2 linked regions of the Styela clava genome follow. The protein of the gene in region 1 binds, or shares a complex with, the protein of each later gene. Links are inferred from orthologs where the notes say so. Each region holds a gene or a part of one and is shown on either strand. Other genes may lie near its edges. The genes, in order: methylmalonyl-CoA mutase, mitochondrial-like; methylmalonic aciduria type A protein, mitochondrial-like.

What was found.
Region 2: the proteins of methylmalonyl-CoA mutase, mitochondrial-like (region 1) and methylmalonic aciduria type A protein, mitochondrial-like are in contact, whole or in part, in a crystal structure (PDB 8GJU), measured with the Homo sapiens proteins. The link is inferred for Styela clava from reciprocal best matches to the Homo sapiens genes MMUT and MMAA. Residues at the interface, in NP_000246.2 of Homo sapiens: Lys496, Glu609, Arg610, Glu611, Gly612, Arg613, Arg614, Arg616, Ala635, Thr636, Ala639, Asp640, Gly642, Phe643, Asp644, Val645, Asp646, Ile647, Gly648, Pro649, Leu650, Phe651, Gln652, Glu656, Gln659, Gln660, Val662, Asp663, Ala664, Asp665; in NP_001362573.1 of Homo sapiens: Arg98, Ala99, Ala102, Glu103, Thr106, Glu109, Ser110, Thr111, His112, Ser182, Ser186, Gly187, Gly188, Ser189, Leu190, Leu191, Lys194, Thr195, Met197, Thr198, Ser201, Arg202, Met204, Tyr207, Ile208, Arg209, Pro210, Ser211, Pro212, Arg214.

The regions. Positions count from the first base shown.
Region 1 is NC_135259.1:18,878,284-18,890,371, reverse strand, and holds the start of methylmalonyl-CoA mutase, mitochondrial-like, read left to right. Parts: upstream 1-7,710; coding exon 7,711-8,047; intron 8,048-8,546; coding exon 8,547-8,658; intron 8,659-9,017; coding exon 9,018-9,161; intron 9,162-9,934; coding exon 9,935-10,089; intron 10,090-10,785; coding exon 10,786-10,879; intron 10,880-11,539; coding exon 11,540-11,654; intron 11,655-12,088. Other genes in the region: MICOS complex subunit mic25-a-like, read left to right, coding at 2,522-3,061; xylosyl- and glucuronyltransferase LARGE1-like, read left to right, coding at 3,904-5,946. UniProt on the Homo sapiens protein: Catalyzes the reversible isomerization of methylmalonyl-CoA (MMCoA) (generated from branched-chain amino acid metabolism and degradation of dietary odd chain fatty acids and cholesterol) to succinyl-CoA (3-carboxypropionyl-CoA), a key intermediate of the tricarboxylic acid cycle.
Region 2 is NC_135261.1:9,031,961-9,043,928, forward strand, and holds methylmalonic aciduria type A protein, mitochondrial-like, read left to right. Parts: upstream 1-6,162; 5' UTR 6,163-6,166; coding exon 6,167-7,315; 3' UTR 7,316-9,397; downstream 9,398-11,968. Other genes in the region: uncharacterized protein LOC120329759, read right to left, coding at 1-113, 1,851-2,042, 2,504-2,662, 3,142-3,339; exosome complex component CSL4-like, read left to right, coding at 4,604-5,197; uncharacterized protein LOC120329316, read left to right, coding at 10,344-10,455, 11,460-11,569. UniProt on the Homo sapiens protein: GTPase, binds and hydrolyzes GTP. Involved in intracellular vitamin B12 metabolism, mediates the transport of cobalamin (Cbl) into mitochondria for the final steps of adenosylcobalamin (AdoCbl) synthesis.

The sequences.
Region 1 (12,088 bases):
ACGCAAAGTACATGAAGAAGGTGGCATTTTCGAAGAAAATGGGAGTTGTAACATTTTTGCTCTTCACAAAATTTTGAAGCACATTGTTTAATTTGTCATATTTCCATCAATACAATCAAAAAACACAATAAGCTCAGCAGTCAATATGACAAATTCGAAGACCAACTTCGAACAGAAAATTTCCATGTGTTTGTATATTAATATAATTATACAACGACTTAGTTACTGAAAATCAATATCAATAATAATTCAAGCAATCCTATGCCACGCAATGTAGTGCGAAATGTCTTGTCGAAAAAATCTGTCATTTGTTTTTTTACTGATCTATACATGAAATGATAAAAGTAACTTTTTTGCATTACTGGAATTAATTAAACATTCGTAAAGATCCAGATAAACCCATGATCATGTGGCCTCGTTAGTTAGAGTTGGTACTATAAAATCATTTCAGACTGGCCTTAGTATGCTGGTGACACAAAAAAGATGCCAAATGCCAGGACAAATGTAATTATTAAAACATTGAGTTTATACTGTAGTATTTTTGTTAATTTTAGGTTCATATATTTAGATTAAGTTATTTTTAGTGTATGTATTATTCTTTCCTTATTCAAAGCTTGTTCAAAAATGATTTTGATGGTTGTACATAGAATTTTACGATTTTTTATAATAAATACTGTAACTTGCAAATGTTGCAATAATAGTGGAATGCAAATATTAATATGTAATTGCATTTGAAATTGAAGAAAATAATAAAACTTAATCCAACTGTTTAGTTGCATCACAATATATGTCACAAACTAAAACTATCTTAAAAATATCTTTTAAGTATACATTATCAAAAACTGTTTGCGGCTCTTTTTACAATTTTCAAAATGCAATGCGGCTCTCGAAAACCCATGAGTTTGACACCACTGATCTATTCTAGACGATTCAAGCATTGCTTTGGGAAATTATATCACTTCAATTAAATTGAAATAATCTCGCTATATTAAATACAAAATCGTTGCTATCATAAAGGTAAACCAATTCAGCCACTCGAAATATATTGGCCTTCACAAAGCAATGGAGGCAAAATTGAGAGTTCATGAGCTATGAACATTTGTTCTTTTCTTTGTCTTGAACTTTCCATACTCCACAGCCCATATTAATTTTTTTTAATTTTAATTACCATGTGATGGTCATACATATCTTTAACTTGTATTTTCTGTCATGATGTATTATCTCAATGTGCCAAACTATTAATTAGTGTGCATATTTTGCTTCCAGATGACATAAATGTATTGTCATGTTTATTACCTCAGCTTGGAGTATTGACAAGAAAAAGGTGCCAGTAAATTAGGTAAAAAAATTTTCAACTCATTGTTATAATCAGAATTCACAATCAATAGGAATTATAAACAGCCAACAATCAGTGAGAATTATATGCGAAATCCCTCAGAATAAATTTGTCTAAAATCGGAGGAAGGCAAAAAATATAGGTAGTTTCCATCCACACAAGCATTTCAAGAAGACTTGCTCGAGCCAAACTAAATGAGCATCGTCAGGTGATCGGTAAGGCTGCAAGCTGAATTCAGCCCTGCAACCTCCTGCATAGAAGATAATATTAATTAGTGGGGTATGAGCTAAATTCCTAAATTTAAACAAACCTATCTACGATGCATTATGTACCAGCAATGTTACCTACGATTAACTGAATATGTAATATGTCTAATAAATTCACCTACAAAAGCAAGTTCGATAGGTGCAAACTTTGTGTTATGGAATTGTATCGCAGAACAGTTTTGTATGACACCCTCTTTAAATGAAATTTCAATGATTAAGCGCAAACATTAAAATTACTAACTTTGAACTTTGTCATTATCTGCAAAATGTTCCACACAAATCTTTCCGCTATCGCGTTTGTAATCTTCTCTGATAAAAAAAAAAACACTATGATGTCCAGAATTGCTCTTTACAGCTTGCCTGTTATTCCAGCTTTCCAAGTAAGCAAAACTTCTTAGATATAGAGATTATTTTGTTTCGTTACAGGCGCAAAAGGCAGGTACTACACGTAAAAAAGACGCCGAGTAGCAAAAGCGAGCGGAAAACGGACGCGAAAGGCGACGAGAAATATGTGCATTGGAGCGTATCACGAAATACAATGTTTTGCCTGTAGTCTTATGGAGTGACGTCAGAGTTGCCTATCATGTTGTTTAATGTCATTGCTCAAACATAGTAGTGTGAGGGGGGAGTTGACTTTGATGATCGCGTGGTCGTATCACTCCCTCCTATCTATACCAAATTATTTTATTGTTATAATTTCTATTATTTCGATGACTGCTATTCTACTTTGGTTGAAGAAATAATTAAAATCTTTCTCTGTGTCCAAAAATACAATGCGCTTGACCTCTCCTGCGATTTTCAATGAAGCATACAGTCACGTGCAAAAATATTGTCATGCTTGGTCAGTTTACACAATTTGCTCTCAGACTATTGCTGTTTCTGTCGACTTTCAAGGTCGCATTGCTGAAATTATTATAAAATGGGAAATTCTGGAAGTAGCGACGTTACATTGGAACGAGAAGACGACAAATATGTATTAACAGGTGATGGGATTAAGCTATCTCCGGCTTTATTGGACCGAATGCTTAGCCAAGAAACGGAGAACGAAAACAACGAAGATGTCGAGCGGGTTAGAAAGGCGGCTGCTGATGTTATTGTCAAAGAGCGACAAAAGCTGGAGGAAGTCGAGAGGGTTGCAACTGCAACTCGAGAATTGCTGCAGGAGCGGGAAAAACAGATGACTGATTTGGTGGAAACATGGAAGGATAAACTGGAAAATGAAAAACAAAAACATAAAAACTTTTATGACCTCACTATTCAAGAATTTGAGGACGCTGTCAATCAAACCGAAAGTAAACTTAGAAAACCTTCGTTAAAACCAATATGTGAGAGTTTTCGAGATTCTGTTTTACAGTGTTACGCAGAAAACCCCAAAAAAATTTTAAACTGTTCTAAAACTGTTGCAGAATTTACTAAATGCGTTGAAAATACAAAACAAGATCTGTTAAATAGGAATTAACTTTAGAGCAATTGCAGGTAATTTTTTGGTTCAGTGCTGTACATTATCACACTTGCATAGAAGATATAACTTACGTGATAAAGCGAATTATCAGAATATTTCTATCTTGATTGAAGTGACATTATTCCTGTATTCTGACAGTTTATATAAATCAAAATTTGGTATTTTAAATATCTTGATTCTGCTTGTTTCTTGTGTTATATTACAGACTGCAAAATGCTGGTGACGTGTTTTATTTGGTATTCCAAGACACGTTAAATTGACAGGATATTTTTTACTGTCATTTCTATTTCAGTTTCTTATTCTTTTTGTGATGCAAAAAGGAACATATTTTAAAGGTTATCCTGGAACTGGAGCAATATAGAAAAACACTGAGGCACCAAGAATAATAGTTGTATTATTTCTATTAGCAGCATGACATGCACCTACTATGTCTTGTTTATCAAATCAATCAAACAATCAATTTATTCGGTAGCCTATTTTTTCTTGTGTTAACATTTACAATTGATATTCATACTTTGGTTGTTGATTATTGAATGACTATTTTATTGAATGTTTTCATTTCCAAAGTTTCATAATCTTCAATAATCAGCAGAACTCTAATAATTGTGTTTGCGTTTTTCTCCATCTTTCTGCTTATGAGAGTGCTATCGTTAATTGATTGAAAAATTTTATGGGAAAGGAAAATTTGTGCCATGGATTGCAAACATCTTGACAAGTACTTTTCTTTTTTCAGTAACAGTGTTGTTTTAAAATAGTTGAAATTATTATGACACTCGGCAATATTTCCTATATTAAAAATATGTGAACAATGGTAAAACATTCACTGGTTGGCTGGAAGCATGAATGCTACTTTCTGGAGATACACAACAAGAAGAAAATTGATTCTACTATTCTGCATCTTGGTACTTATTCTTGTAGTTTTTGAGATAAAGAAATCGTCATTACTTTATGGAACTAATAAGATTAAAAAACCCAGACAAATGTCATATTTTGAAACGGCGGAGGAGTCTCATGTAGAAGTGTATAATGGATTTTTAACAGAAGAAGCGGAAAAATGTGAAACGATACAAATTGCAGTTGTTTGTGCTGGATATAAAGCGAGTAGAGAAGTCGTTACTTTGATTAAATCTGTGCTTTTTCACAGACACTTGCCCATTCATATGCATTTTATTGTCGATGCACCTGCTAAGAAAATATTGGGTACTTTGTTTCGGACATGGGATGTTTCGGATTTTACGGTTTCTTTCTATCTTGCTGATAAATTAGAACCAAAAGTGTCCTGGATTCCTAATTTGCATTATTCTGGTGTTTACGGCCTAATGAAATTACTGTTATTGGATGTTTTACCAGTGGGAATTGATAAAGTAATAATTCTGGACATCGATTTAATATTTCTAGAGGATATTGGGAAACTCTGGGATCAGTTTTCTCAATTTGTTGACAACCAAGTAATTGGTCTGGTTGAAAACCAGTCGGACTGGTATTTAGGCAAAGTGACCAAACATCCTTGGCCTGCCTTGGGACGTGGCTTCAACACAGGCTTGATGCTTTTACACTGTGAAAAACTGAGACAGATTAAATGGAACGAAATATGGGAAAGTGTAACAAAAAAAGAACTGTTGACATTTTCTGCAACCGCCCTTGCTGACCAAGATATAATAAACGCTGTGATTAAGGAACATCAAGATACTGTTTTTATTCTTCCCTGCTTCTGGAATGTTCAATTATCTATGAATACAAATTCAGAATCGTGTTATGGGAAAGATATATCAAGTATCAAAGTTCTACATTGGAATTCACCATTTAAAAATGAATTACAGAACATTCATGCCTCGTTGTTCCAAAACATGTTTTATAGTTACGCAGTGTATGATGGTGCACTATTGCGCAATCCTGTTGGCAAATGCACCGAAGTAGAAGAAAGCAGAGAAGAATTTAGCAAAGATTTTTGTCAAGAAATGTTGCATAAAAGTGTACAGCTGCGTAGAACACATTTATATTACCTTCCTTTTGACTACATTTCTTCCGATCACACAGATGTTACTTTAACTCTTCACTTATCGATAGATCGAATCCCAATGTTAGATATTATATGTAAACATTGGGAAGGTCCGATCAGTGTTGCAGTCTTTCTAAGCGATTCTGACACAATAAAATTACTTAAACATATTGAAATTTCTCCCACATTATCAAATCGTAGAAATATTGGTTTTCATTTGGTTTTTCAGAATTTTGATGATACTTCTTATCCTATTAATCTATTGCGTAATATTGCTTGGCAGCAAGCAGTTACTGAATTTGTATTTTTATGTGATGTTGATTTTTTACCTTCTGATAATTTATATGAGCATTTGAAAAATGCTGTCTTGCCATTGTATCCAAATTCTTCAAAGTTTGCTTTTATTATTCCTGCTTTTGAAAGTTTGTGGCACAAGTTTGATTTTCCGCCTTCGAAATCTGAACTGATAGACCAATGGGATAGAGGTGTAATAACACCTTTCCGATCATACATGTGGAAGGTTGGCCATGCCGCAACAAATTATACAAAATGGAGAAATTCCAATAAGATTTACTCGGTAAATCGAACAAAGGATTTTGAACCTTATGTTGTGTTACCGAAACATCTTTGTCCGGCTTATGATAAAAGATTTTTCGGTTTCGGTTGGAACAAAGTTTCTCATATAATGGAACTGGATGCTTTAGGTTTTAAATTTTTAGTTTTACCTTATGGTTTTGTCATTCACTTGCCACACATGGCCAGTCTTGACGTTGTAAAATATCGCTCATCAACTGAATATAAGAATTGCATTGACAACCTAAAGGTTGAATTTATACAGGATTTAGTTGTTAAATATGGAGTCAGTGCAGAATTTTTTTATTAAAATCCTGTCAAACAGTATTATTTGCTTATTCAGCATAATTTTTTTCACTTTTGAATATAGAAGCTACTGATTGATCTGAAAGTCACTGAATTACCAACATTTTTAGCCTAATTAAATAAATGTCATCTTTTTCTTTGTAAAAATAAAACTGCCTTCATTACTGCGTTCCAAACTTGCTGGTCAAGTGTATATTTTTTTGTGAAATTTGTGTTATTGAAAAAGGCTTTTATTAATTCTTATTTAACTTATGACAATTAACGAGAACATGGTGTAGGGTCATTGCACTGATTTCTCTTCACTGTTGTCCATTGTATGATGCGGTAATCACCTTATTAACAATGTTTACATATGTCTAATATGTTGTTCATAAATTGGCCTCTGCAGCCGATTTAATCATTTGCATATTCAATGTGTTGTAGTTTGCTCAAATGTCAGAGAACTATAAATAATAGATGAGATCCCAGATTAATATATGGGCTTGGTATATAAGGGCAGAGGTCATGTAAGCCACACTAAGATAACAAAAACTACACTAATCTTCTTGCATATAACCATCCCCATGAGGTTGAAACCTGTAGAATGTTATGTGTGGTATGTTCCTAACGCTCCGACAGCACAACGGACACATATTGTTTTGCATGAATTTGTACACTCGCTATTGTGATATATTTTCTTTTGAGTAATCTTACTGACTATGGTGCTTTTTTGTATCTGTTTAAAATTCATTTTGCACATTCATTTATATCTTTAGTTGAAGAGCAATCCGTTAGAAAATGAATTTAGAGATGCCTACTATGTTATAATATCTTTTTTTTTGGAATACAGTTTTTATATTTTTGAGACATTTCTGTAAAATACCTGTTCTGCATTTTGGTATAATTGTCCTTTGCTGTGTAATTTCATAATAAGTGTTTGGTAATTTTAGAAAATAATAGCAAAATAATATTTTCAAATATATAATACCACTTACCAGATACAGATAAAGGGAAGGCTGCTGTAAATTTAGCTATGAAAACTCTTCAAGTTCTACAAGTACCCTTGTTTTAATTTTTGCTGTTCCGGTTAAAATATTAAAAATCATAATTACAATAGCAAACTCACATGATGCGTTTGATATTGTTGTTGGTTATGCTTATGACACTGGTGTTGACATCCCAAAGAGAAAGCACAAGCTTAAATTTTTCTCATCCTTGTTATACCTAATCATATTTTGGTGCTCCAGGAGTGTGTGTACCAATCTGGCAGTAACTATTTTCGTTCGCCTACTTTACATCAAGTTGTGTAAAAGGACTGAAACATATGGGCTGGGGGTATATTCACTTGGCTAACACAGACAGTCCCCGAACTCGTAATAGAACTAAAATAAGGAAATCGGTATAAAATTATGCCCTAACCCTAACATGGTAAACACACTACGGGAGTATCCATGTTTTAATGTCAATTCATATAAATTACTTTTTTACCGTCTTATCATTTTCACTGAAATGACTTTAGGCTATCAGTTAACATCAATATGCTGGTATTAAATTTTTTGAACATATTGAACTTGCCTCAATTGTCGATTTGTGATAACTTATTATTCGACAAAATAAGTCTCAGCTCAAGCCCGAAAACAAAGCAAAAAGTGACAGCATCAGCACTTGCATATTCAGATAACATTATTCCGAATAGTTATGCTTGAGTTGTTTTTGGTGGTTGAGTCCGAATGGTACTAAGGTAACCCAAACCTCTAATTTATGTCTCGATTCATATTTTTATTTGTTCATGTTAAATAATGTGTTTTCTTACTTTGACTCAGTATTAAAATTTTGTAACTCAAGTGATTTGTCTTCTTTTGTAGAAACTAAAATGGATAGAATAATTTTTACAAAGGATTTGTTAAAGATAGCAAACGTTAAACGATTATTCCTAAAATCCATCCGCTCTTCATCGAACAAAAATCCTCAGCTGCCTTTAAATGAAGAATGGATGGCTTTGGCAACAAAACAGTTAAAAGGAGCTGACCCAGATAAGAAATTAACATGGACAACACCAGATGGCATTAAAGTGAAACCACTTTATTCGAAAGATGACTCCAGCAACTTTGAAGATGAATTACCAGGTATTTTTCATACTAACCATCTAGGCCTGATATGGACAAACTATGGCCCGCGGGCCAAATCCAGGCCCAGGAACAAATCCGGCCCATTGGGTAATTCAATCTGGTCTGCCTGATGTTGCCACAACCAAACAAACGTTTTAGCTAAAAATAGCTCAAGTTATATAATGAGATTGCAATTAAATTTAGTTTTCGCATGAGGCTTACTGTTTTCCACTTTTGCTTTTGTAACACTGTAAATATTGCGCATAAAATGTAACTTTTTACGTCACAATTACATGGCCAGCCAGTTTAGGTGGGCACGCTCACCCCTGGGTTGAACTGTTCTGTCTGGTTAAAGATCCCAGTCTTAATTCCCATATCCACTCCTGATTTATAAAGTTTTTGGGCAATGCCGAACCTGACCAACCCTCTTCCAAAAATAGCTTTTTCTATTTCAGTGACTTCTTGTCTTCCTTGTTCCTTCCATAAGCAAAACAAAAAATATTTACTAAATTTTCAGGCAAATATCCATACACCAGGGGACCATATCCCACGATGTATACAAACAGACCTTGGACTATCAGGCAATATGCAGGATTTAGCACTGTTGAACAAAGTAATAAATTTTATAGGTGAGTCTGTTACTGCTTCTTTATGTTTAAAAAGGCATGGGTAAAAATACATATGGGATTTTTTACTGTTGTCGCTGCGCTAAAAAATCTTGCGCCATTTTGCCCAGTGGCCGGTGCTCTTTATTACCGTGAGGCTAAGCGATGGCCTTTCGCTAAATTTTTTGTGTGGTCCAGCTAGATGTCTTAAGTTGGTTATTTGGCCCACACCGCACACCGACAAAAAATGTTGCACACTCCTTTATTAGAACAATCTCTTGGCACTAAAGTTGGTAATGGCCATTTAAATGGCTTTCAGAGCTATGTTTGGAGAAAACTCATTAAACGGGTGAATTTACCATTCAAATTGAAATGATTTTCAGAGACAATATAAAAGCTGGGCAGCAAGGACTGAGTGTTGCTTTTGATCTGGCAACCCACAGAGGATATGATTCAGATAATATAAGAGTGCAAGGAGATGTTGGAATGGCTGGTGTTGCAATCGACAGTGTGGAAGACATGAAAAAGTAAGCTAGATTGATATTTGAATGGAATAGGAGTGGGTACAGGGTGTCCACCATAAAGTGTCCAATTTTGTTATGGAGTCAGTTCTCAATACCGGGTTTGTTGTTTTTCGATCAGTAATTGTTATTTTTACTTCATTTAATACATCTATGAAGGCCAAAGCAATATATGGAATCGATAAATTCACTTTGCAATTTGAAAAAAATTTAGAGACTTCATTGACACCATATATAATAAGTTCTTTCATGTGTTTTGGATGCTCAATTTTATTTCTTTCAGTTAGTCCGTCAATGACTGCATCATAGGCTCAAAATTTGGAGTGTCATGTAAAGTTTCCGCTATCCACTATGTAGCCATTTATAAATTCCCCGAAATATCTCCTCTGCGTCGACCTTCTTGATACCCTGAAACCACTCATGAATCTAATAAATATACTCTATCTAGTAACATTGAGTTTTATTACAATTAAATATAAGTTGATGTGGAAGAGGGCTTTGGGAATTCTATTATTGGTTATTACATTGGTGACCATTAGGGCATTGGTCATGATTGGTATAATTTATTAATGCAATAGGCATACCAGGACATGGTAAAAGTTAATGGCATAGTGTTAGCACATTGGATTGGCCTGTCCCATGCCCATAATCTTGTACAAGGTAAATAAATTAGGTAACATACAGGTGGAATGTTACTGCTTGTCTTATTTGCATTGGCAGTTCACTTATAAAAATCAGTGGATTGGATGTGAACAGTATATCTATTGGAATTTTTACAGGTTATTTGAAGGCATTCCTCTCGATAAGATGTCAGTATCAATGACAATGAATGGAGCCGTCATTCCCATCATGGCCATGTTCATTGTTGCTGGGGAAGAGCAGGGTGTGAGTGCTGATAAGTTAACTGGGACAATACAGAATGATATTTTGAAAGGTGGGAGAAATATTTTGTCATAGTATAACATGTCAATAATTGTTGCCTTCAAATAAAAATCCAATTTTGTGAATATAACAGAGCACTATGTAACCGAAAGTGAGCGACATAAAATAGTAAAATGAATTTATTGATTGAGTCATAACACAGCAAAAAAAATACATTTATAATAAATACAATATGTAAAATATGCAATCCCATATTAGTTATGTTTAACACAATTATGTTTATTCTCGGGGCACACCTAGCAAATCACCGTTGTGCACTAGCGCCCTCTTTGGAAACCGTTGTCATAGGCCTTCCTTAAGATCTGCGATTATTATTAGCAAAAAGTGCTCTTAGCCCTTGGCCGAAAAGCATTAGAGTTAGAAATTTCAAACTACAGACTATAAGAAATTTGCAAATACAACTTTACAACTCTGTATATGTATATTTTTGACAGTGGATCATGATTTTTATCAAATCAATATCTTGATGTAAAACAGTTTTCATTCAAAATATTTAAAACAATATTTATATCCCGCTAAGATTTCACTTTACACAAGCAGTGAGTGGTAAAAATTTCCATTTTCAACCACATCTATGGCCCAAGCCACAGAAGATGTTCTGTGATGCCGGTACTTTGTCCTGCAAAAATAACTTGATATTACCGGTAATATGATGCACCTTGTATGAATCATGTATTTGTTTTTCCAGAATTCATGGTAAGAAACACTTACATCTATCCTCCTGAACCATCAATGAGGATAATATCGGATATATTCGCGTTCACTTCAAATAATATGCCAAAGTAAGTAATACATACATTCTGGAAGTTGTGTTTGTTTGTTATAATCTGCTGTACATTTGAGAGCTAGCTCACATGCAAAGGCACATTTGATCGAGAGAGGCAGAAGTAATCGAACTTCAGTTCCCCAATGTCATGGCATGTCTATGGCACTACGTTTTCTATTAATTGAATAGTGTGCAGTCCTGTACACTACTCAATCAAAATCACATCTGTATTTTTTTGGTAACATTTCTCTTTCAAATTTTTTTTCATGATTGAAGATTTTAATGTTTTTAGCATAACTCTGACTAATTTCACTTCCATCATCCAGCATTTTGTTCTATAATCCTCAACACTTTCACTGAACCCCTTCACACACACCCTGGTCGCTACTCCTGAAGTATGTGAACCAAGATGGCGGACATCGGAACGTAGTATGCATACCAGGTTAGGGTTGGGCCATAGTTTTTTTCCAATTTTTCTTATTTTAGTTCTATTACCGGGACTAGCCGAGTGGCTCTCGTAGTATTTGTACCTGAAATTAGGGCCTAACCCTAACCTGGTGCACATACTACATTCCGGTGTCCGCCATCTTGATTCACATACTTCGGGTAAACCCCCTGGCCATCCTTGACATCTGCACTATCAGAATTCATTTTCACCATAAGATTTATGTTTCAGGTTCAACAGTATTTCTATCAGTGGTTATCATATGCAAGAAGCCGGTGCTGACACCGTTCTTGAATTAGCCTATACAATTGCTGATGGCATCCAGTATTGCAAAACTGGAATTCAGGTTAGTAAGTGTTCAATTTTGATTTATTTTCTTCATGCTTAAATAAACAAACCCTGATAGAATAGTTGCAAGCAAGCAATCTCTGAGAACTTGCACTATTCAGTCCCAATTAGTGGAGAGGGAAAGTTTGAGGTGCAATTTTGTTTTTTAGGCATGAGCCATCTTATAAACTAAACTGAATTTAATTGAATTTATGTTCAATTGAATTGAGTTTATCTCAGATTTGTCTCATGTGACTTAAGGTGTGTGTCAAGGAATAAAATCTAATATTTCAGTATTGCTTTTCGAAAAAATTTGTTATATTGAGTAATCAAAGTTATTCTAATTTTCTTTGAAATCCTGATCTATGTGCATTCATTATAATTTTTTTTAAATCAATTTAAATATTGATACTTAATGGAATATTTATTATAAAGCCTTTATCACCATAATTT
Region 2 (11,968 bases), on another chromosome or scaffold:
TGGTTGCCGTCAAGAAAAAATTCTCGTACTGTTGTTTTGCACAATACTTCACCTAGTGGTTCACCACTCTTTGGCGTTAACCCACAATAACAGAGGCTGATAGAGAGCATGATCTATCAAATAAAAATGAAGAAATAAAGGAAGATAGATTGTTTATAGTTCTAATGAAGAGGGGAGAGGAAGGTCAATATTACAGCTTGATCATATTCTGAACCACAGCAACTCCTCTTGTTACCAGTCCATATTTGGTATAGATTAGATGGCCCAGTTGTTTGTTGATATTGGAGGAAGCCATAACCGCTATGGCGATTCGGAGTCTCGCAATTTTCTCGCACATATTTAACCCTTTCCATGCGATTTTTATCTTTTATTAAATAATCGTATTTGCTACACCGACTTTATGCATTTGTACCCCCACAACTAATCGATCGACTAACGAAAAAGTAATGATCCTCTGCTGCCCACTGACGGCTCGTTGGAAAGCTTATTTAAAGAGCTTGCAATTGGCGATTGAAAATTTTATTTTTTCAAAAGGGGTGGTCTGAGTCACAAACCGGATAGAAAAAAGGCATTTTTTTTCTTGGGTGTTGAAACTTCAAACCGTGAAAAAAAATAGAAATATTCGCTAAATCCTTTACTGTTACCGCTTCTTGGTTGGCAAACAATAGCATAATATTGCTGTAGCAATTTCGTTATCTAACTCAAAATACTTTGGTAGATGGAAGGAATAATATGTCTTCTATTACCACCCAAAAAACACCGAAATTTGCATAAATTTCAAAAATACTCCCTCGTTCCGCCGCAAATAAAATTCCCATGGTAAACGAAAGCGAGATTTACCGTCGCTTATGTTAATCTCGAAGAAGACTTCTTATCAATAAACTAAAACCCGGAAAAACTAGACCAACAGTTTGCGACCGATTGCTAAATAAAACAGTGGAGTACATCAACGTACCCGCCGCAAACTAGCGAGTTTTGTCGTGGGTACGTATACGTGCCCACCGCACAGAAAGGGTTAATAACCCCACAAGATTAGAACATGCGAACCAATGCAGGGTAATCAGAGGTGCGGTGGCAAGCGTATTCCTAGCGCTTGAAACGATTTACCAAACCGCCGAGCCGGCAATGTGGACATAAGATATAAATTACCACGTCAAATCTTCAAACACTGAATGGTATAACTTTGTATTTAATATAGAATAATTTTTCAGTGTAAAATTACACTTTTGCATTAGCATTGGTGGGCATTTTCACATCTTATAATCGATATTGGAGGATGTTTCAAACTCCCAAGGGTGGAAGTAGAAATTTCAGACCTAAAAGAGTCCTAATCTGTGACAACTTGAAAATGCAAGTCAATGTATCCCTTTGTTTATATATATATCTGCAGTCAAGCGATGATTGCTGTAGCATTTTAAATCAGACACCAATCATTGCTGTACTGTAGATGTAGTGTGTTAATTCTTTCAACTTTATTCATTTAACTATTGAGCCGCTTACTGTTAGCATCAGCAATTCGATACGTATTTGTTTTCTTGTTTAATAACATTTACTTGTGTTATATTTTACTTTAGATTCATTCTAATTTCTGAGTGGGCTTTAAATTTAAGTTGAATAAAGCCTTATATCAAGGTACTATATTTCTCATTCATTACTTAATCAAAGTCAAAATTTTGGCCAAAACTGAAAATAAGGAATTATGTTGACAAAGCATGATCAACACACCACAAAAGAGTCAAAAGTTCTTCGCAAACTAAAGTTGGAGTCATAGTTTTTAAATTGCTCAGAGTTTGGAGTCAGGTTCAAATTACTATTACTAAACATCCCAGTACATCAATGATAACAGTTACCTTGTTATTCTTGAGTCCATTGCATAAACCAACACATCCTGCATCACCAAATTCATTGTAATCTAAGTTGATTTCAACAAGATTTGAAACCCTGAATGCTTTAGAAAATCTGGCAACAGTGAAATGTTGAATGTCACAATCCATGAGCTCAATTCTTCTTACTGGATAAAAACCTTTTTCCAGAAGTAGTGCCTGTTATGAAATATTTAATATTATCATTAATTTAGAAAGCAAATATTTTTTCACTTTCATACACATTTTTGGTACTTCCGTAATGTGTATACCAGGCCATAATTTTATTTCGATTTTCCTTATTTTAGTTTTATTACGAGTTCAGGAAGTGTCTGCCTAATACCATTTCAGGGACTGTCTGCGTTAGCCAAGTGAATATACTCCCTGCCCATAGGTTACAGTCTCTCTACACAACTTGATGTAAAGTAGGTGGACAAAATTAATTACCTCCATATTGGTATAGATACTTCTGAAATGCCCATTTTTTTCCCTGAAGACCATTTTTAAATATGATATTATAATTGTTATCTATTGTGATATATTATGAAAAACAGCTCAGTGTTTGGCGCATCGTGCTAAGTGTTAGGATCATGTTTGATCCTAATAAATAAAATATGAGTCGACGAATAAAATAAAATTACCAAGTCAGCAACTTCATCATGTTCTGTTTCTAAATCCCAGCAACATATTTCATGAACATGAGTGAATCTTTCGTTACGAATTGATCGGACGACAGGTCGCAACCTTACCGGAGGAGTATTAGGATCTTTCATTCCTACATCAACTTCTTCAATAATGAACTAAAATGGAAGCGTAGAATTTTATTTAAAATCAAATATTTTTTAAACAAATTATTACTCTGATGAATAGAAGATCTTCTACCTTACAATGACTGGTAACAATACAATGGTTTATCATTTGAATGAGGCCTCGTATCGGCTTTTTCCCACATTAATTTATAAAATCATATACATATTATACTTTTACCGAAGTGTTTATTCATGGGATAGGGTAGCAGACGAACTAGAAATTGAATTAAAATATTCAGCCCTTGACTGACATTCTAAACCTAGCATTGACCATTTTGTTGAGAAAAACCTTTTTGGCCCATTTCAATTTTTATATTACACTAAACCGGATAGAAAGAAATATTAGACAAAAATCTGAATACTGGCCATAAATATAGCTGCCGAATTTTGGCAAACGAGTTCATAAAACACGAAGAAATAAAAAAAATAAAAAATCGCTAATGTTATTGCAAAAATTTTCGACCAATCACCTTTCTCGCATACATTCTATCTTCAATTCCTTTCTTCAATGCTTTTTGTAACCAAACACAGGGTATGGATTTATCAAGCGTGCATTGCATTTCATACGTTCCTAAAAATTTCTTCTGATAAATATCTGAATCTTCATCCCATTTCACTCTTTTTGATTTCTTTTTCCCTCCCTTTCCTTTTTTGCCCTTTTTCGCCATTCGATTGTTTATTTGCTTTTATGAAATTTAACTTGGAAATCTATGACATAATGTGAATCTATGAAAAAGAAATGCAGGATTGACTGTAGCTTATTATATTCATTACCATGTTCCGAGCTTTTATACTTATCCTAGGATGAGAAAAACCAACCATTTCTATAAAAAAATTTAAACCTTATTCCTATTCTTTGATCTGATTTTATCATTTATTTTACTCCCTATTTTGCAGATTAATATACCTTTTTTACCGATTAATAGAATGAACAAACTACTGTAACCGATTTTGACTCATGATTCAGATTAGGTAGTTATATGAAGTGACTGAAAATTTCTATTCATGAATATTAATTCGTACGGGCAGTTATAATAGTATAATTTTTTTTGTAAGTTTATATATAACTTATATTTATAAATTTATTTATAAGTTTATTAAGTTGAAAGTTAAAACTTTGACATTGGATTGTAATCAGAAATATCCATCCCCCTTCGTGTTTAGTTTAAAAAGGGTAACTGTTCTCCCCAATGATAAAATCTAATGCATACCTAAATTTACTGAAATATTTACGAAGCTGAACCTCGTAAGGGTTGTGAGTTGTAACCATGACAAAGGGTACTTCAGCGTAGGGGAATCCCGTTACATTTTCGCATTTTTCTTGTGCCGTGTTGTCATCTTAAAACCAAAAGTATTTTGCATTCCTCATCTAAAATAACATGATTGTTTTTGAAATATGTAAATACAAATATTCAAAATACAAATTATCTGTAAACAACGACTTTTCCCAATATTCATATTTCTTATCGCTATATGTCGCTCGTGTAGCACGTTGGATCTTGTGAAAAAGCCATGCCTCCCTCGCTGGCAATGTGGATGCATTGGAATTTTGGGGGATTTCCCATGTTCCTGTCAAATTTGATGTCAGGCTGACTTTTATTATTTATATATACCGACGAAATGATAAAATTTAAGACTTAAAATGAGCATTTAATGATTGATTCATAGCATGTAGATCAGCATATTTTTTTTTATGTAGGCAGGTTTAGATGAAATTCAATATGACACATTCCTGCATTCTGAAACCCCCATGCTCTTCTATGACTGTATGACCATTTCTGCATGTTTGTTCATTTACTGATTTAAATTAAAAATTGAATTGAAAACGCTTATTCCCGTATTTGGCCATTATACAGTTATATCAGTATATTAAGTTACCTATATATTTTCATGGCTCATTATTTTTTTAGTTCCAGACAGTTCTAAATAAAAATGGCAGAACTATTGAAAAGCAGTCAAATATGTGTGCCGGGGGAACGTCTCGCAAGTGCTGAACACCATCGGGCAGGATTTGGAACTTATGTAAAACGAGGATATATATTTGCATCATTAGCTGGCATGGTTCGGAGCGAACAAAATGACAAGGATATAATTACTGTATCTGTGCGATCCAAGCACCATCAACAACTTCTCCCACAAATCGATTCCATAGTCACTTGTAAAGTCACAGGAATCAGCGGTCGCTTTGCAAAATGTTTAATTACAGCCGTTAATAACGCGAGGTTGTCCGAGCCATTGCGAGGCATCATAAGACGTGAGGACGTACGTGCAAAGGACATTGAAAAAGTTGAAATTCCGAAATGTTTTCGTCCCGGTGATGTAGTTTTAGCAAAAGTTTTGTCACTAGGTGATGCATCATCTTATTTGTTAACTACAGCGGAAAATGGACTCGGTGTTGTTCTTGCACGTAGTGAAGCCGGAGAACTGATGTTGCCTATCAGTTGGCAAGAAATGCAATGTCCTGTTTCGTATGTAAAAGAATCGCGTAAAGTTGCAAGACCACAGGAACATTATTTAAAACAATAAGATGTAGATTCTGGTAAAACATCATTGTTTCCCTGTCTTCTCAGTAAAAATCGGTGATGTTTCATCCTTCTCATTTGAAAATATTGCTCTCTGCGAAGTCAACTATTCCAATCATGTCGGTTACTAGCATTTCAATATAAATTCTCTCCTTATTAGAACATTCTTTGTTATTGCGTATTCTATCGTATCGTTTGATAGAAAGTGCTGCAGCTATTTACTTGGTTGGTTTTGAATATTGGAACTATAATTTTGCAGTTAAATTCATCAAACTTCGTTTAGATGTGTAATTTTCAAACTTGCCTATTCTACTAAGTATAAAATCTTAGTTTAAGTTACAAATAACATAATAAAAATGTGTGTATTTATTTTCCATGGATATTCACATGTTGCTCCGAAATTTATTATTTTTTGTGCCATTCCCAGTAACACACTATTTTTGGTTGTCCTTATTATCACTATTTTTAATTTTTATTAAAATTTTGGCATCTGATTATCAAAACAAATTAATGAGGAAATGTTAATTAAAATGGGTGGTCTTAATTAAAACAATATTTATAAATGAGTAAAGAAAAACAGTTCCACAAAAAAACTTCTGATTAAGCTTGAAATGTTATCGAAGAAATTCTAAGTTTCGCTCATGGAAAATAAAAATGAGTATTAAACAATATTTATTATCAACATTCGAAATTGGAAAGATAACAAAACGATTTGTTTGTAAATTTTTTTTTATAAAAGAATTGTTTCTCTCTGCATTCATGTCAATATTGACAAACTTATTTGTAAATTTGAATATAGAAAATTCAACTTCTGAAACTGAAAAATCTGTCCTTGTTAAAAATAGTTTCAAAGTCATGACGATTTATTTCAAATTGAATTTCCATTTTGTATGAATTGTCTTACATTTACAATCATATCTTTTTTTCCAGGTCAAATGATTGTTAGATAGGGAATACTTTCTTTATTTCCAATATGTTAATTTTCAAAAAGCTGTCGTTGCGGCCGTTTCCATATCTTTCAGTTCGATTCAAATCTTTAAAACCATACTCTAAGCACGCATTTTTATCAGGTGATTATGACATCACAAAGACATTTCCTAAAGACTCTTATGAATTTAATTACATACGAAACCTTGCTAATGGAATTAAGAATAAAGATCGGGCCACACTCGCTCGTGCTATAACTTTAGTTGAATCAACAAATAAACAGAAAAAATTGATGGGACAGATTTTGCTACAATTGGTAATATCGGAAACATCAAGATCTTCGCAAAAATCTTTTCGAATCGGACTTTCTGGACCCCCAGGTGCAGGGAAGTCTACATTCATTGAAACAATGGGAAGCTACCTTACTGAAAAACATGATTTAAAAGTCGCAATTCTAGCTGTAGACCCCTCTTCAAGTCGAACAGGGGGGTCACTTCTCGGAGATAAAACAAGAATGACAAACTTGTCTCGTAATCCGAAAGCATACATTCGTCCTTCACCTGCTCAGGGTACACTAGGTGGTGTAACACGAAACACTACTGAAGCTATGATATTATGTGAAAGCGCTGGTTATGATGTCATAATAGTAGAAACCGTCGGTGTCGGTCAAAGTGAAGTCGCGGTTGCAGACATGACTGATTTATTTGTATTGCTCATACCACCAGCTAGTGGTGACGAACTTCAGGGCATCAAAAGAGGGATTATAGAGATGACAGATCTAGTAGTAATAAATAAAGCTGATGGCGATTTACTTCCAGCTGCTAGAAGACTACAATCAGAATACACGAGCGCTTTGAAATTTATACCACGTAAACATAATTTTTGGAGACAACGGGTACGCAGAGTGTCATCTATAACAGAAGAAGGTATCTCTGAACTGTGGTCCGTGATGCAAATATTTCACGAGGAAATGATTAAAAGTGGGACTTTTGAATCATTGCGTAGAAATCAAAGAGCCATTTGGATGTGGAATCATATAAAAGATAATATTTTGGAAGATTTTGCGAGTGATTATGATGTATCGAAAGCGCTTCCAAGTTTGGAAGAACAAGTTAAAAATTGTAAAATGACTCCTGGCCTTGCAGCAGATTTATTATTAAACTGTTTATTTAAAAAAGATGATAAAAATAGATAACATGAATGCAGTTCATTTTGCCGTTTTTCTTCATTCTTTAGTACTTTCCTATTATTTTGTTTCCATGATGTATGCTGCAAAAAGGCCCTGTCCATTCTTAAGTAGTGAAGTACAATATTTTCTAAAGTGGGGGGTGTGGTACACATTTTTATAATGAATTCTAATTACCTCCGTGAGATTTTAAATAGTACAGACCAGAATTACTAAAAACCTGTGGCAGTTGACCAATTATAGACAAACTGATTCGATAATGAGGTTTCAATATGTATTAATTTAAAGATTTTTATGCATGAAGGACATAAAGTAATCGAGGCATATGATATGGCTCATTAGGGTAGAAAATTTCAATCAGAATTGCATTGATTGCAATTAATAATTGATTAACTGACTATGGATACATTTTTCAAATTTAGGAATATTAGTTAAGGAGAAATGCTATTAAACATGGGACGCAAATCTAGAAAAAAAATAGTTGATGTACATTTGATTTCTTCGTTAATTTACCATTATTCATATCAATTTATATCTGAGGAAATTTAATGCATGGCATGATAATTGAAATGAAATATATCCGGAAGCATGCCAGCATTGTAAACTGGATGTATATTTCCTGTTGTAAGCTATTCAGGAAATGCTGCACTTGTGCTGCCACTCCCTGCTTCAAACTCTTAGTAATATCGACGCATGAAATCCAAATTGGGCTAAGTCCATTTTTCTAGTTTTGAGAAAAACGCAAAAAACATTTTTTTTTTTGTTTCTTTTTTTTATTTCTCTAATACCTTACATCAAGGATGTCTAGTTTTTATGGTCCACCAAAGTTACAATGAAGGCCATATTTAGATGGTATAAAAAAATTTGTGCTCCGCCCCAATTTTTTTTGGGGGGTTTTTTTTTGGACTTAACCCTTTTTGGCTCTCAATTTTCTGGACCAGAAACAATTTTATTGGACTTAGGGCCCCTTTATTATGTTATTATAGAGGCTGGTATGGACTTAACGCTTTGTATTATATTTTTTGAGAGGAGCTATGTCCAAAAAATGGACTTAGCCCCAACTTACAATGCAGTTATCAAGAGCTAAGTCCACTATAGTAGACACAGCTCTGTTTAGTTCTCAAATGCCCTAAAAAAAGCAGGGTTTTGTCCATAGCTGTCTTGAGATCTAGAGCACCTCGAGATAAGGCAAATAGACCAAAATGTAGAGCTAAGTCCAGGAAAATCAGCAATTGAAAAATGTCATTTTTTGGAAAAGTGGACTTAGCACTGTTTGGTTTTGAGGTGTCGATATAAACTATTAAGATTCAATAGGCTTAGTCTAGTTTTGTAGGATAGGTATTTCTTGTGTTTACTTTGAACAATACTCCGAACGAGAAGGTATTATCCTATTAAGGAATTAAGTTTGGCTCCTATTACTTGATGGAGTTTGGATCAAAGATCTGAAACCACCGATGCAATTTACTAAAGTCTGTTGCATATAGGCAGGGCATTCTGGTTAGGCTCTGGAATTCTTCTAAGAAGAGTTGAGTGTGACTGGTGGTAATATTCTGAACATATGTATATGTAACATGCGGTCAGATCTTGCTAAAGAATACTAGTTTGCTTATAGCGGAACTTTATTTAATGCATGTCCGACACAGAATGTAACTTATTCTTGCAATTTTGATGCCTGTGAAAGCGAAAGCATTTATTGTTTCATTATTGTTTTCTAAATTGAATATCCTTATATAAATGCCGGTACTATATAACTTATATTATGCAAAGTATGCTAATAAAAATCCCATTATATTGTGGTAATTTTTACCTGGCATTTACATGGTTTTTCAAGGTTGGACAGGGCTTAAAAATAAGTTGTGTATTGAATTACATGTAATAGCTGGGTAATTTTACAGCTTATATCTAACAAAGATGGCTCAAACTTGCGAATATTAAATATAGTTTCACGTGTGACTTGACCTATTGTTTGCCTTTTTTATTTTTGCTTCAATAAATTATGGTCTGATCATGCATGGATCATACTAATAATATACAAAACAAATATTTTAACTAGGTTTGATAATGATAATGTTTTTATTTGTTAAACTTCAGGTTTACTATAGTACTTTACAAATGAGAGACTCCTTAAACTTGATTCCACAAAAATAAAAAAAGATAAAAAGAAAGGGTATCCATCCGTGTATTTATATTAAATCAATGATTGAAGGTTTGGTGATATTGATCGTACATACCAGTATTCTCTGTGGAACAGTTAGATCGTGATATATAAATCGTTATATTGCGCTATGAAGGTCAGTAGACTTCAGATGGATTGGAATAGTCGCTAGAAGATTTTATAGAATGATTTTCCAAAATTGTTATGTCTACTTGCTAGAAATGCAGTATAATAACTAAACTTAGAAATCAGATTATGCCTCAATTATTGAGGTTATATTAAATCGATTTTTTATTGGTCATTTGCACAAAGTAATCTCATGCGCAATCAGAAATAAATAAGATTTATCACTGAGCAAAGTTATGTCTTTCGTGTAATAATGGACATTTAAGCATTTTAGTTAACATCATTGTGTGTTTAATTGTCTCATTAGATATCAAAATGAATAAATAAGAGGTTATAAGACAGGTCTCACATGTATATTCTTTGAAAATATAACAGTTTAGAAAAACTAGTGAATTTATGTATGTGTACTGAGAGAACACGATTTATTCAAGAGTCATAAATTTTTAATAAGTCTGTATTTTCATATTTTGAAGCCTGTAATTTTCTAAATAAGCTTATTGTCGTGGAAACATAACATTGTCCCATGACACTCATAATAGTGTAAAATGTATTCCCCATTGACTCAATGTGACTTCTTGTTTACTTAGAGAAGTTTACTCTTTATAGAGAATCTCACTATTTCAATACGATTATTACAAATAACCTTACCTGCTTTTGTTTGCTAGGTACGTCAAATTTTTATGTCATCTCTCTCTCGTGCGGACAAATAAAACGATCTTTAAATAATAGAGAGTTGCCGTATTCACTTCAAATAGGATGGCAAACAATAGGGAAGGTGTTACGGCAGGCACGAATGAAGATAGCTTGTATTTATTAGAAAATACGACAGGAACATCGTCACTAACACCTGTTGAAACTACTGCGTCCGGTATGTAATTTTTTTTCAAATAGGCTTGTTATTTGAACTGTTCTGATGAATTTTAAAGTAGAATCTTTATCATGGAAGTCTGAAAATAAGAGATGATATTCAAGTGTATTAAAAAATTTTGATTAATTCCTGATTTTGAATAGATCTTAGATTATACATTAAAAAATTTGTCATCTTGAGCATTTAGGACAAAAAATGAAGTTTGAATCAAACGTATGTTCTTGTTTAAAAGAGAACATGACACATTGTTTACACCTTATCATTTTATTAATTATTATGTAATAACCATTTCAGATTTGTATATATATTTGATATTCCATATTTGAAATTATTATTTCGGAAATTATTTGGAACAGTGATTTACATGCTTGTGTGTTATTAAATATTGTTCTACTATGTGACATAATCAGGGCTTATTTTGAATTCTGAGGGGTATTTGAGTGTCGAAATGATTGTTATATAACCTCTTGTTTATTAACGAGCTGCAAAATAAGGATAATACTTATAAATTAATAATATATATGATAAATAAGTGTAGATTAGCAGTAATAATCTGTGAAGAATAATTTCAAGCCTCCTAATTCTATTTCTGATCTAACTGAATCTTAAGGTCGATCTGCTCTTCATATTCGTAGGCATACATTGGATTTAGAAAGTGGATACTCTGATATAAATATATAGGCCTATTATCACAAGGCACACTTTAAATATTTTTTTTCTCTGAAATCGAATTGAATACTATCTGAAGCAACTGGATTAAATCGTTAAATAATTAATATATGATTTTGTTCATTTGTACGTATTTTTTCAATTATTCGTGTACTTAACACATGACAATATGTAAATAATTCTTATTGAATTTTTCTCATGGTGCATGGGTCATTTACCGAAAGAATGTCGCTCATAAGAAACACACTTATATTTATGATATAATAGTTTGTTTTATCAGTATTTTGTGTATTTTACTGTTTAATTTTTGTTTATGAGATGCTTTTATTTTATAGATGGTACCAGTTCTACATCGACAATAAATCACGAATTGGTCCCAATTAGAGTTGAGTCGGCGTCAGGTAGAGACAACCAATCAGATACCTCACAAGAAAATTTAGCACAGGTAAAGAAACATTGTATGTTTTGAAATCGCCTTTTAAAGGTGGTTTTGCGTAAATTCAATCCAAAGAAGGCAGATTAAACACAGATTTTAAAAGAATTAGAATCGTTTCGGTTTCGCTTTGCCTCTTCAATTTCTGATCTCGGCGTCAGGTAGAGACAACCAGTCAGATACTTCACAAGACAATTTAGCACAGGTAAAGAAACATTGTATGTTTTGAAACCGCCTTTTAAAGGGGGTTTTGCGTAAATTCAATCCAAAAAAGGCAGATTAAACACAGATTTTAAAAGAATTAGAATCGTTTCGGTTTCGCTTTGCCTCTTCAATTTCTGATCTCCGAATAGAGGTGTGGGTTGGAATCCCGCTTCTGACACCATGCTTGGTTATCTATCTAGTCTTACG